Drosophila melanogaster: one gene and its partner. The protein of the gene in region 1 interacts with the protein of each later gene in a pairwise test. Each region holds a gene or a part of one and is shown in the gene's direction. Other genes may lie near its edges.

What was found.
Region 2: the proteins of phr (region 1) and Tpst interact in a two-hybrid assay, tested with the Drosophila melanogaster proteins (one large-scale study listed by BioGRID).

The regions. Positions count from the first base shown.
Region 1 is NT_033778.4:7,821,994-7,829,008, forward strand, and holds phr (photorepair), read left to right. Parts: upstream 1-3,295; 5' UTR 3,296-3,510; coding exon 3,511-3,552; exon of another isoform or gene 3,553-3,606; coding exon 3,607-4,878; intron 4,879-4,940; coding exon 4,941-5,294; 3' UTR 5,295-5,326; downstream 5,327-7,015. Other genes in the region: cathD (cathepsin D), read right to left, coding at 232-492, 556-1,473; CG30383 (uncharacterized protein), read right to left, coding at 2,133-2,465, 2,699-3,130; Prosalpha1 (proteasome alpha1 subunit), read right to left, coding at 5,408-5,889, 6,178-6,354, 6,417-6,492.
Region 2 is NC_004354.4:13,560,588-13,568,024, forward strand, and holds the start of Tpst (tyrosylprotein sulfotransferase), read left to right. Parts: upstream 1-3,235; 5' UTR 3,236-3,746; intron 3,747-7,437. Other genes in the region: CG32633 (uncharacterized protein), read left to right, coding at 1,124-1,130, 1,379-2,229. UniProt on the Drosophila melanogaster protein: Catalyzes the O-sulfation of tyrosine residues within acidic motifs of polypeptides. Has a role in protein secretion.

The DNA.
Region 1 (7,015 bases):
AAGTTAGTCGATTTTGGAAGATTAGAAGCGTCGGTCATCGCCACGTACTTACTATTCGTCTCATTAAGTGCAGACCGCGCAAGCCCTATTGTAATTAATAAACTTACGCTAATAAATATATGGAAAATCTACTAAAATGATAATTTATATATTATTCTTCGGAGAAACCCGCAATGGGATCGATCGATAATGTTTACAATTTAAATTTTAAGTATACTTTTCTTTGTTCGATTATTTGGCATCGGCGAAGCCCACACGATCGTTGCCCATGTCAAACTCGGTGTAGTATTTGCCAATGAAAACGTCACCGAGGATCCACAAGGGTCCGTTTGGAGGGGGGATGTCCAAGCCCATAAAGCCGGACAGACAGATGGTCTTACCCATCTGGGCCACACGGAGAATATAGTCCTTGCCCTCGAGCTCGAAGGTCTTTCCGCCCAGCACAAACTTGATTACCGGCAATTGGGGAATGAGATCGCAAGAAACCACATACTAAAGTAAGAAATTAAGAGGATTAGCAGTGCTTCATGTGAGAACTTAGAGCATGGTACTCACCTGACCACCGATGATGGGAGTTCCACCAATCTTCTGGTTAATAGAGGTGGCCTCTTCCAAGGGCGCAGCAATTAGTGAGGTACCGGTGTCAGCGATCACCTGGCAACCGCCCTTGCACAGCTGCAAATCGCCAATGGAGGCGGCATCCATCTTGATTTGCCAGTAGGCCTTGCGGGTAACGGGCAAGTAGGTGAATTCACCAGTGTAGTGGTTGGGATCGGAGCCGCCAAAGATGATCTCACCGCCCTCGGGCGAGGCGGGATCGCGATTCAGGTAGAATGAGAACACCGGAGCGGAGATCAAACCCTGTTCGTACATGGCGTAAAATGGCGGCTTCACCTTGTCCACCGAGATGGAGTTGTAGCCCAGGCCTAGGATGCCGTCGAACTTGGCAGCTACGAAGACCAGGCCCGGCTCACTGAGCGCCTCAGCGAATGTCTGATCCTTGATGTCCAGGCCGGCAATGGACACCGTATCCGTGGACAGGTATCCGGACAAGCTGCCCGAGCCATACTGGATGGCGAACTCAGTGCCGTTCTTGGTGTAGGTCTTCGACTTGGAGGCATCGTACTTGTTGTGCATCAAACAGGCGATGTTGGTCAGGTGGCACTTCTTGGACGGCACCCACAAGTTCGAGGAGCCGGTGTCGAAAACCACACGGAAGTTCTGCGGTGGCGAGCCAATGGCAATGGGCCCATAGTACTGCGCGTCCATATAGTTGGACAGCGGTTCCGGCACATCACCTCCGCCGTACCTAATGCGCAATTGCTGCAGCTCCGTGCCCACATCCGCAAAGTGCCGGCGGGCCGACTGAAATTTGTGGAGCGGTACGCGCAGCAATCCGGGCTTCTCCTGCGAATTTGGGTGGGCCACGGCCGCAGCCAGGAAGGCGACTAGAAGCAGTGCAACCTTCTGCATTTTGATTTCTATGTTACGCTTCTCTGGTGGCTAAAACTGCAATGATCGCTGCAGTTAATTAAATATTGCGGCACAGCGAAAATGATTCAGCACAGATAATGTACTAAATTTGGCTTGGCGCGTCGTTTTGATTAGAGAGATTCGATAGTTTTTGTTGTAAACTAATGCAATTCTTTAATTTTCGGAATGTTTCTTTTTAATATTTCGCGTTTATGTATATATAATACAAATGTATCATTATTTCTACACATTTAGGAAGAGCTTGTATCATGACTACGATCTTACTTTAGAGACAATAAGGGAAAGCTAAAAAAGTATTTCCCATCTTTCATTTTTAAACGCTTTTATGAGCAAACAATTAACAATTATGATGAGCAACCTTAATGTATTAATTGATAATATAGATAACAATCGTAAGGAGCGGGTCGAAGCTGAATTTCGAATCTTTACTTGTATATATAAATTCTAATAAATTCATGATAACATGGAATTATATATTAAAATATGAATAGTAAGTTGTATTTTGAGCTTAAATGGTTCAAAAATATTACAAAAATAGTCTTCTTATAGTCACCTAAAATCCAGAGAAATAATTTTATACTATTGATTAAAATGAAATAAAAGTATTAAATATAGATAAAAGATATAGCTAATCCTTTCTAGTACTTTTTACAATCACTTATTACTCGACAAAGTTTGGATTTGACCTTAGCACAGACATCCAAATCGGAGATTAGGTCATCAATGTTCGTTCGGAACGGAGTAACTCTAGCAGTATCCTCGAATGACTGTTTGGCGCGCCGCATTCTTTCGTGAATCTCACTCATATCGAGCATCTTTCCAATAGAAAGCTCATGGTTGGTGGACAACAGTACCGAGAACAGAACGGCGGACTCCATGGAGACTTTGCTTCGATACCCAACGCAGGTTTTCTGCTCCATTTCATCGCTTTCCATGAGCACGGTTTGGCATCTTTTCAGGGAATCGCCTTTCTATAAAAATCGAGCAAAAATTAATATCATACTATTGGATTAAGAGAGTAAGAGATATAAGATTATAATGTGATGTGTAAGTGCCCGGATAACTGCATAAGGATAGATTAAATTAAATTAAAAAAAGGGTACTTATTGTTTATTAACGAAAGCAATTTTAAGTAAATACATTCATATTTATGCATGTACATAGTAAATTGGCATCAAAATTATTCGCCGACAGATATGCTTACCTTAATCTTCTTGATATCTTCAGGTTGGATAAAATGTTTCTGGCGCTGGACTACAAATCGAGCTGCAAGGTCACAATCCGGAGTGTACTGGTAGCCTTGGGCAACGCGCCTGAAGAATGGATGCAGATCCAGAAGCTTAAGGCGTTTTTGGGCCATCTCCGAAAGCTGATAGGTGTCCAGTTGGGGCAGAACTTCGGTTAGGAATAAATGGCACACTTCCTTGGCAGTGAGATCCCTGAAAGCCTCGTTCCTGGTGTTCCACTCCTTCCAGGCTGAAGCATCCTGGATGTAAAACAGACGGCACGACGCAACAGCGTAGTCGATCAACTCCCTGTGGATCGATTGTTCAGCATCGTGCAAAAGCGTAGATCGAGCAATACGGCCGATATTGGCATTAAATTCCGCTTCGTCCACAGTTTCGTCCATTTTCATTCCCAATATAAAACATTTTATTATAAAACAGTAAAGAATCGGTTTAATTTCAACGTGCGCTTTCAGATCTGCACTCTTTTTGTAATCGATAACTGCTGTGTATCGTATGCGGCACTGAGACTATTGAAATCTTAGGGAATGTTTAGGAAATAGGAACATCTGGAGTTAAATGTATTTCAAAACCGAAAGCCACAACTTTCCTTAAAATATTATGCCAAAAAAAAATCTACTAATATAAATTTAAACATAATACTTAATTCTTTATTTATGTTAATTCATAATAATTTCTCTTCCAAGGGAAGTGTATTTGGAGTGCGGCTACTAGCATAATTTTCACTCTCATTGAACAGCTGATAGAGTCGCCATATCGTTATACAGTTATGTTTACACTTGCTTCATATTGGCGCGAATCATTCAAGATTGTGGGTTAAATCGAATTAGTAAAAATCAAATCACGATTTTTCATTCATGTTCAGGTTCTTCCGCTGCAGGCGATGAAGCGTACGAAGGCGCAGAAGGCAGGTCCTTCCAAAAAGGCAGCAAAAAACGAGAAGGCCAGCTCCGAGCCCAAAAGTGACCAGGAAAGCAGCGATGAGGAGGCCTCCACATCGAAGGCTTTGTTGGTTTCTAAGCCGGATTACCAAAACTTCGAGCAGTTTCTTACCCACTTGGAACACCAGCGAGTCTGCACGGCAGCCAACATACAGGAGTTCTCTTTTCGAAAGAAACGAGTGCGCGTTCTGTCCAAAACCGAAGATGTAAAGGAATCCAGCCTAGGCGGCGTCGTCTACTGGATGTCCCGCGACGGGCGCGTACAGGACAACTGGGCCCTGCTCTTTGCCCAGCGTCTGGCTCTCAAGCTGGAATTACCCTTAACTGTGGTATTTTGCCTAGTTCCCAAATTCCTGAATGCCACTATCAGGCACTACAAATTCATGATGGGCGGCCTGCAGGAGGTGGAGCAGCAGTGTCGCGCCCTTGACATACCGTTTCACCTGCTGATGGGCTCCGCTGTTGAAAAGTTACCACAATTTGTGAAATCCAAGGACATCGGAGCCGTAGTCTGTGACTTTGCTCCGCTGCGTTTGCCACGCCAATGGGTCGAGGATGTGGGCAAGGCACTGCCCAAGAGCGTGCCGTTGGTGCAAGTCGATGCTCACAATGTAGTCCCCTTGTGGGTGGCCTCCGACAAACAGGAGTACGCTGCGCGTACCATCCGCAACAAGATCAACTCCAAGCTAGGGGAGTACCTCAGCGTATTCCCACCAGTTGTGCGGCATCCTCATGGAACTGGCTGCAAGAATGTGAATACCGTGGACTGGTCAGCTGCTTATGCTTCGCTGCAGTGCGACATGGAAGTGGACGAGGTGCAGTGGGCCAAGCCGGGGTATAAAGCAGCCTGCCAGCAGCTCTACGAGTTCTGCAGTCGTCGTTTGCGCCATTTCAATGACAAACGAAACGATCCCACGGCAGACGCCTTGTCCGGACTCTCGCCGTGGCTGCACTTTGGTCATATTTCGGCTCAGCGCTGTGCACTGGAGGTGCAGCGGTTTCGAGGACAACACAAAGCCTCGGCGGATGCGTTTTGCGAGGAGGCCATTGTGCGCCGCGAACTGGCGGATAACTTTTGCTTCTACAACGAGCACTATGATAGTCTTAAAGGTCTAAGTTCTTGGGCATATCAAACGCTAGATGCACATCGCAAGGACAAGCGAGATCCCTGCTACAGCTTAGAAGAACTAGAAAAGGTTCACCACGGATTCTTTTTCTTTTGATTTGAGACTAAAATGATTTTATAATTTTTTCCTAGTCTCTCACTTATGACGACCTGTGGAACTCGGCGCAACTGCAGCTGGTACGCGAGGGAAAGATGCACGGCTTTTTGCGCATGTACTGGGCCAAAAAGATTCTGGAATGGACAGCGACACCGGAGCATGCGTTGGAGTACGCAATCCTGCTGAACGACAAGTACAGTCTGGATGGTCGCGACCCCAACGGCTATGTGGGCTGCATGTGGTCCATTGGCGGCGTCCATGACATGGGCTGGAAGGAGCGGGCTATCTTCGGTAAGGTTAGGTACATGAACTATCAGGGATGCCGTCGCAAATTCGATGTAAATGCCTTTGTCATGCGATACGGCGGTAAGGTGCACAAGAAGAAATAAAACGTTTTCGGATTTGCCTTTGTTTTGAATGCAAGCCAAGAGCATTTTTTATTTAACCATAGATCCAAGAGGCTTTATAAAATATGACAAAATTACAGCTAGCGGGACAGAACTTAGTCCTTCTCGGCGATCTTGGTGAGGTGTTCCTCGATCTCCCGCTCATCCAAAATACGGAAAGTGGGATCAGACTTGCTGACCACGCCGATCTCAATGCCGTTCGGCTTGAAGTCTATAGCGAGCACACTGGACAGACAGGAGATGGCCAGCTGGATCGCTTTCTCCTCCGACAAGTTGGGCTTGTACTTCTTTTCCAGATAGCTGTTGGCCTCCAGAGTCTTGGCACCCACGCTGCAGGCCTTGAACCCGCTGAAGTAGCCAGCCGGGTCCGTCTTGTAAACGCTGGGGCCGATTTCATTGTCGTAAGCGATCAGCACCATGCTGCAGCCGAGCGGACGCATCTCGGCATTCTGCGTGTACACCTGGTTGATATCCGCAATTCGACGACACAGCACATCCACGGGCATTTCGTAGCCGTACTTGTAGCGGAAGTTGGCGGCCTCGTATCTGGCCTTCTGCACCTGTGAGCGGGAATCAGCTAGGGGAGAGAAATAATTTTAAGTATTTAGTGACACTCTTGGGTTGATATGTCCTCTTTTCTAGTTGAAGCACCGTGTGAAAACTACGTTTAAAATGGCTCCACGCTATACGCCTTTGCCCTAATGTCTGGCAGGCTATTTCTTCTGATTTTAGCACAATCATAAGTGAATCGCTACTTGGTTACATGGGACATATCAACAATGGGATAACTCTGTGCTAACTCGACTGGAATTTGACTCGAATCACGCCGGGATAAACAAGAATTTAAAGTATCTATGGTTCATACCTATGCGTCCGGTCATTGCGCATCCAATGTCCTTGGTGATGCGGAACAGGTGGGTCACCGTTTCAGGCACGATGTTCTTCTCGGTCACTTTTTTTTGGGTGGCCACCACGGCACAGTCGCCACTCTTCAGCGCCACCGTGGTGATGTTCTCCTGGGCAATAGCCTTGAAGGCGTACTCTGGCGGGGAAATGAGAATGTCAGACTGGATACAATGGAGCCGCAAGTGCCAGGATACTAACCCACTTGGTAGAGGCGTCCCTCCGGAGAGAAGATCGTGATGTGTCTGTCAAAGCCGGCTGAACTTCCGCGAGACATGATGCTTTCTTCGTGCTTCGATAGCTGCAATAGACAACGCCGGTTAAAATTCAGTTCTCAAGTCTGCCGCAAGCAACACACCTTTTGAACAATTAAAATTTACAAATTTGTATATAGCAGGGAAAATGTCGCTTCAAATCGAACCTACTGTGCAAAATTCAGATTGTCATTCTCAGCCCGAAAATGAACCTAAAAAATACCAAAAAGAAACGCGCGCTGGGATATATCGTTTATCATTGAAATCGAATATTTGGAAAAAGCCAAAATAGTGTTAAGCTACGCTTACAAAATGTTTAAATTATTCCTATTTTTATTTGTGAATTATTGTAAATTAGTCAACATAGAGCAAAGGGATTTGTAAAAAAAAATATTAACAAACATATGTAAATTGAAGACAAAACTTTTACTGCTCAGTAACGTTATCTTATATAATTTTTGTTGAGGCTTACAACGTTATTTCTTAAGAAAATGTTTGTAAAAAAAGCTATTGAGCGCAAGCTAAATCTAACTGGAATTAAGGCAG
Region 2 (7,437 bases), on another chromosome or scaffold:
TTGGTTTGCTCGAGAGCAGGGCGCGCAAAGCTGCTGGGAAATCGTGGAAAAATCGTAAAGCTTAATAATGACACTCCCCACACAGCCCCTACCACCAGTCCAGCATTGGGAATTCACAAGCCACTGTAAACAGGTGCAAACGTTGCGTTGCACAGCAATTTCAGCAACCCCTCTTAACTTTTGCGCCCAGCTTTCCACGTTTTCCCTTGTTCAAATAGTTGTAAATGGGCGAAAATGCAAACAAAAAACAGTGATCCACTTGAAAGGCAAAACAAGAAAAATCATTCAAAGAGGCAACAATGCTGGGAAAACAAAAGGAAAACGAACGAAAACGAACTGCAAAGACAGCGACCACTAAATAAGTGAAGTGCGTGGACGACTGGACGAGTGGAAATGCGGAAAAGTGGGAAAGCGGAAAAGCGCGCGCAAGAAATTTGCAATGTGGCGAATAAATAAAGGATCAAGCGATTCCCCCATTCAAATTGGCGAATATTGGGCGGTTAAATGGAGATACATGCACGGATGTAAGGCAACTCGAAAAGGTGGCACAACAAATGAACGAGATAACTGGTTAACCACGAGTTGTAAACGCGCAAGCTATTGTTATTAGTATGTTAAAAAGCGGAATAAACTTTTTGTGTTTAACTACAGCTCCATGAAATATGTATATGCTATATGTAACAAACAATAAGCGAGAAAGTTTGTCGGCAACAAAAAAAAAAGTAATAACCATTATGATATTATGAATGCAATTACATTCTTGACGACTCGAAAGAATTTTAAATGTATAAATTATAACGAGATAAAAAAATAAAATATAAATCAAATTTACTTAACATTTATAACATTTCTAGTGCAATATTTACTTTCACTATATGGGTTAATAAAATAAACTTGCCTGTTTCTCGATGTTAAACCCCATTACTTCCAATTGGCCAATCGATTAGAAATTCAACAAGAGTTTGCCAAGATCTGAGTCACTTGAGGTCGGGCTTCTTATCTGGCCATGTAGGTATATTCCCGATAAGCCCTATCAGCGACATCGAGGCGGAAACACAAAAAGACCATCAAATCGACCACTTTCACAGTTGAAAGTCAGAGCTGCTGAAGAACGGACAAGAAAATGGCAGGTAAATAGGTCGTAAGGCCAAGATGCCATAACAAAAAATGAAAACATTTAACTAGGTGGATGATATAAAACAGTTACCAATCTTTAAAGTACTTAATCAGTTGAAACTCAAAATAAATTAATTCAATTTTGGAAACTAACTTGGCCTAGCCAAATAAACTAGTTTACTTGCCATGAACAACAGAATTAAAGAGTTATACCATTCGGTGTGCTGTTAAATAATCGTTTCATTTTTCCATTATCCCCCAGACCACAGATGGATGCACTTCAGCAACGGCAGCGTGCCGCCGAATGCCGTGGTGGCTGGTCACGATTCGGACGGGGACACCATCTACGTGGGCCGTGCCTTCTTCTCCAACGACATGCTGCCGGCGAAGGTGATTCCCAACAAGGGCAAGGCCTACGTGGCGTATGCGCGCGAGGAGCACGAGCTGGAGAACTACGAGGTGCTTTCCGGCTACAACTACGAGTGGCTGTCGGCGGAGAACGGGGAGGTGCCGCCGGGCGCCGTCAAAGTTGGTCGGAATGTGGACGGCGAGTATTTGTATGCGGGCAGGGGTTATCATGCCGGCAGCTTAACCATGGGCAAGGTGCATCCATCCCACGGCTGCCTGTATATTCCCTACGATTCCGATGAGGTTAAGATCTTTGCCTACGAGGTGCTGTGCCAGCCGGAACGTTGGATCGACACCACCGCAACAAATATTCCGGATGGAGCTCTGGTTGCTGGGCACGATTCCAACGGGGACACCATCTACGTGGGCAGGGTGTTCCGCAATGGTGATCTGCTGCCAGCCAAAGTGGTGCCGGCGAAGGGGAAAGCCTATGCCGCCTATGCCCAGGCGGAGCACGAGCTCACCGACGTCCAGGTGCTGACGGGATCCGGATTCCGTTGGGTTCCGGCCTCGCACGGAAATGTGGCTCCCGGAGCCCTGTCCTCCGGTCCGAATGTCGACGGGGAGCCCCTCTACGTCGGCAGGGCCATCTACTGCGACAGCTTGAGTGTGGGCAAGATCCATCCCTCGCACGGCTGCATCTACATCCCATTCGGTGGCGAGGAGGTGCGTCTGGAGAATTACGAGGTTCTGGTGAGGATCTAGACGGACAGCTTTGCCTTTATTCCATTTTTTTTTTAATAAATCTATTTTTTACACACACAACAGAAGTATACAGATTAAAGTATAAATTTAAGTTTAATTCGATCGACATCGAGCAACGTAACTGATAAAATTTATGGTAATGCACCCAGTAATTCTAAAAAAAAAGTACCCCTTTCATAGAGTTTTGGTGATAATAGTTCAAAGTGGTTGTCATAGAAATTTCGAGGTATTGCGGATGTGAGGAATTTCTTCTATATGCGGGCCTTATGTTATCACATCGGTTATCAATTAGCAACAATCAATTGATTAGTTGGCCATAAATTTGCGTCAACTTGTAACATAATTAACCATTTGCCTTCGCCCACTGACTTAACAAACACTGCATCGTAAAACTCAGACAGATATCGCAGTTATCAGAATGTGTACATATATGCACTCGATGCTTTATAACTCGACCTTTCGTCTGCCGAGGTAAAAAGTTATAGGTATCGAAACTCTTTGTAACTTTCTTTGTATATTGAAAAGTTTATTAAAACGTTTCATAAAGTTAAAGTCAATTCATTAGTGGCGGGCGTAGCGTTTTATTTCATAGCTTATTAATGTGCACACGTTGTAATCAATACATGTTTTAAGCACTTATTTGACAGCACAAAGTTTCCCATGGAAATACTTTTTTTCGCAATTTATTTTATAGGAAAGTTGCTAAAAGGCCTTAATCTTAACACTATCATTGGCGCCACCTATGAGATGATTATCTGCACTAACCGTGGCGCCACCTATGACGAGCTGGAGAAAGTCGAGCCGTAGCAGTTTGCCTAACCGCCGACAGCTGGCGATTTAAGCTTTCGACTGGTTCCTGTCTTGGCTAAATGCATTGAGCTTTCTTTTCCAGTGTGACCGTTCCAGCGTAGTAACCAAACACCACGCCACACCATTGCGCCATACAGATATTTTAGGTAATTTCAGCGACGCCGCAGTCGACGTGCAGCCCGCTGCGCCCGACGGTCACACTCTGCCCCCAAACAGCTCCAAAATCGGTTGTCGTCGCGAAAAGTGCGAATCGAGTGCATATTTGCTGCAAAAAGAAGCGAGAACACGGTGACGTGACGAAAGCATTCGAGTGACGAAGAGTGCGAGCGCGCTGCATTTGTTTACGATTCCGATTCCGATGCCATTGGTCAATTGGTAAGGGGCTTTGGGAAGTGTAAGAGGAAGAGCGTGCGGCGCGGCAAGTAACGAAAGAAGAAGAAGCAGCAGCAGCAGGGCACACGCAACGTGCAACATTGTGTGCGAGCGTGTGTGCGTGTTTGTTTGTTTGTGTGACAAAAATACAACAAGTGCAAGCAACAATAGTTAGCGGCAGCAACAACAACAGCACCGAAACTCCTTGCCAGAACGAGACAGCAATAACAACAGGAGTGCGAAAGCGGGAGAGAAAGAGAGACAGCTGTTATTGTTGTTGTTGTTGCTTTACAATGTTTAATGGGAAACCTGCCGCCAAAACAACAACAAATCAGGTAAATATGCCGCTTAGCCAATTACATTCTGAAGCATTATTTATCTGCGCTGTTTACTTTGTTGCATTCGTCCCTAAATTGGTTTACTATTTACCTTTTAACTAATATAAATTCCTCGTTCTATATATGTTTTGCCTAATCAGTTAATTTATTGATATTTTAGCCGCTGTTGCAAGTAAAAATCTAGATTGAACTAGTAAGAGGCTTATCTTAAAAGTTTTTGATGAGTTGTTTCGTGTCATTCAATTTGATTTTCAACTTTGTACTTTTTTCGTCACCTACGTGGCCCTTTCGTAAAATATTGAGATATTGCAGCTTGTTACGTTTTCGAACTGGAAAGCAATGTTAATCATATTGTAGTTTAAGTTTATGTTTAAGTTTAAGTAACGTTTTTATTAACACTACAGCTTGCACATTTAAGCGTGAACAACAAAAAGCTGCCAGTGAATATATTATTATTATGATTTACCCGTAATATTTGTTCAACATTTTGAAATCCCATTAATATTTATTCAGTTTAGTGCCTGAAATTTGTATGCAGCTTATGTACTTATTTTAATGCATTTTCCATCAACAGTTAAGCTGTTATCTTTGCTTTTGCCATCGCTTTCGAAAAATGGGAATTATTTTTGCTGCGGTTACCACTTTTTGCGCTTTCTCGTCTCCTGGTCTTCATCACCTTCTTCTTCTGCGTCCTCTTCTTCTTCTTCTTCTGGTTCCTGCTGCAACTTCTTCTGCTTCTTCCTCCTAATGAGAGTGCTTCAATTTCAATGCAGTTTCTTTTTTTTCATGCAACTCGCGATTTTTTCACATGTGTGTGAGAATCTCCAGCTGCGGCTGACTGTCTGTGTGTGTGTGGTTGTGTGTGTGGTTGTGTGTGTGCTTGCGATTTGAAGTTGCAAGAAGGGGCGCTTCATCGGTTCGCCGCCCCCATTGCCACGCCCCGTTTGTACCTTTGGGCGGAATTTTCGTTTTATTTTGTCAAAGTTTGTTGCACTTTTCGCAGTCAGCAGCGCGAACAAGTCCTTTGCATCCTGCCTCCTTTTGTCCCCTAGTCCTTTTTTTTATCCGCCAACATTTTTTCCATTCCTCTTGTTTTTTGTTTTTTCGTTTAATACATTTTTTTCTTTCAACAATTAGTCGCAGCTGCTGGAAGAGGGCAGAAATGCAAAAATGCACAAATGCAGCGGTAGAAACAGACACATAAAACGGCGATAATAGACAAAAGCGGTACAGTGAAGAACCAATAAGAAAAACATTAAAAAAAAACAGGAGAACAAATTCGTTGAAAAGATGTATTTTGAAATCTAGAAAACCATTTAAAGTTGCAAAAAAGGTGCAATTCAATGGACTTTTTATAATCCTTCAAAAGTTCTTATGAGAACCACTAAAAACATCTTAACTAATAGAAAATGCACTCAGTTGACTTTCACAAACATAACAGATACTATTTCAAAATGTATCTTTTAGGGCCAGTGAGCACTGTATCTGTGTCTACGTCGCATAGTATCTCTGCGCTGGCTTATTTATGTACATATTTCACTTGGCACTTGTTATATTTATACGCTCCACACACACACTTACAGCTCCTCCCCTCACCCTTCCCCCTACCCGTGCACCCCCCAAGCCCTTCTCCTGTGTGTCGTCATCAGTATGCCAGTTGTCACTTCATCTTTTTAAATGCGCCTCATGGTTTTCAATTTCGAGAAACAAGTGGCCCAAAAGTGCTGCTGCCCAAGTGCCCATATTACATCTACACACAGAAAAAAAAACTCAAGAAATTAGCCATTTATAAGACACTAAGACAATAAGGCCTGAAAATAAAGAAACGTTTATGCGCGACTTTGCAAGAAGTTATTTAATTTCAAATGCATGGATCTAAGCAGTTTTACATATAACTGAACTAAATAAAGTCATATTCTGCAGGAAATCAATGTTCAGCTTCTAGTTTTATTTCTGAACTATCTTATAGATATTTAACAGAATAAGTCCATAAAAGATTTGGCTTAAATCGAAACATAAAAGAATTAAATATTCTATCTATCTTTTAGCATTCTTTTTAATAAAGATGTATCTATAACCTGACAACAAATCGAAGACTAATCTAATAAATATCTGAATAGTAAGCAAATATTCCCTGTGTATTCCCCCACCCCCTTTTGCTGTCTTCGCATGACGCCTCTTTGGCTTTCGGGCAAACTGCAGCCAAATGAAATTAGTCATTGGAATAGTTGGCTTAAAAGGAGCTGCCAGCGAGCACGACAGATATACGGATGCAAACTCAATAAGCCAACTAAATGCAGAATTCAAATTTATCCGCTCGGGCACAGAAACTCGCGCACAATTTGCACACTTTTCGCCAGATTCAATTCTTAAAGAGAAGAAACCCTCCTCCTCCTCCTCCTCCTCCTCCTCCGTAACAGCAAAGTTCAGCAAATCCGTTCAGATACCGAGCCATAGGATAGAGTCATATATACCATCACCATTACCATCGCCATTACCATCGTTCGTAATTCTTTGGAGCGGCGTAAAATCATTATTCGTCACGCTCAGATTGCCGCACTTGAGTGGCCAGGTAGATGTGTTTGCATACAACTCTATAACTCTGTCACACTCACCTGGTCTTTTGCATTTGGAAGTTGAAGTTGAAGTGGAAGTTCTCAAGGGGAAACCACTGGCTATGACAGCCGATGGTGTGAATCCATTTTGGGCAATGGAAAATGTTGGTGGATCTAGAAAAGTTGGGCTGCATTTTGTCGATATAAAATATTGAAAAATATATTTCAGTTGGCGGGGAACTCAAACAACTTTATGGGTCTGAAAGAAGTACTCTGTTCTACGTGGCATTTCATTTATTTGCTGTACATTGACATATTTACAATTCATTCGATCCAGTTGTCCAGCTAAATGATATCAAAAAGTCATGTGTTCACCTACATACTCATAAGTTCGTTTTTTTATCAGAGATTATAAAATCAAAAGTAAAGCAGACTATATTGCTCATTTCGATGCTTATCAAACTGGAATGGAAAAATAATAAATAAAATAACTGCTGCACCTAAAAATAGCATATATGCCATAAATATTTTAAGCGTTGTCTTTACGATAAATTTACGATGCGAGTTGATGTGCTTTTATCCGGAATCGAACGATGAAATCTGCACACCTGTTGATACCGTTTTGGCCAACATGCAAGTGGCCTACTGAGTTACCCTGCAAAAAAAAAGAAAAAACAGCAACAGAAACGTGACACTCGTGCCATTAATGGGCAATTTAGGCTCGAGCAAAAGAATGAAAAATAAAAATAAAAAAAATGAGGGGAACAGTACAAATTAATTATGAACAAAAACATTGCGCATTTATCATCATTCATTCATATTAACTTGGCCCATCAGCATTTCTCATCATTCCCTCAAATCGCGGCCCATTAAAGGCCGGAAAGAAATAAAAACGAAATGAATATGAGAATAATGAAAATTAAGGCAAATATGCAAAGGGGGCGACACGCAACGTTGACTTGACTGTTTGTTCTCAGCTGGCCAACAAAAATTTTTGATGATGGCCACCGAAGAGGAGGAAGGTCGGCCGTTGTCGTTTCTGTTTTCCTTTTTTTTTTTCAATCCTCATTTTTTGGCGGCGAGTTTTCCACTTTTTCGAACATGGAGAAGGAGAAGGGTAGGGTCTCTGCAAT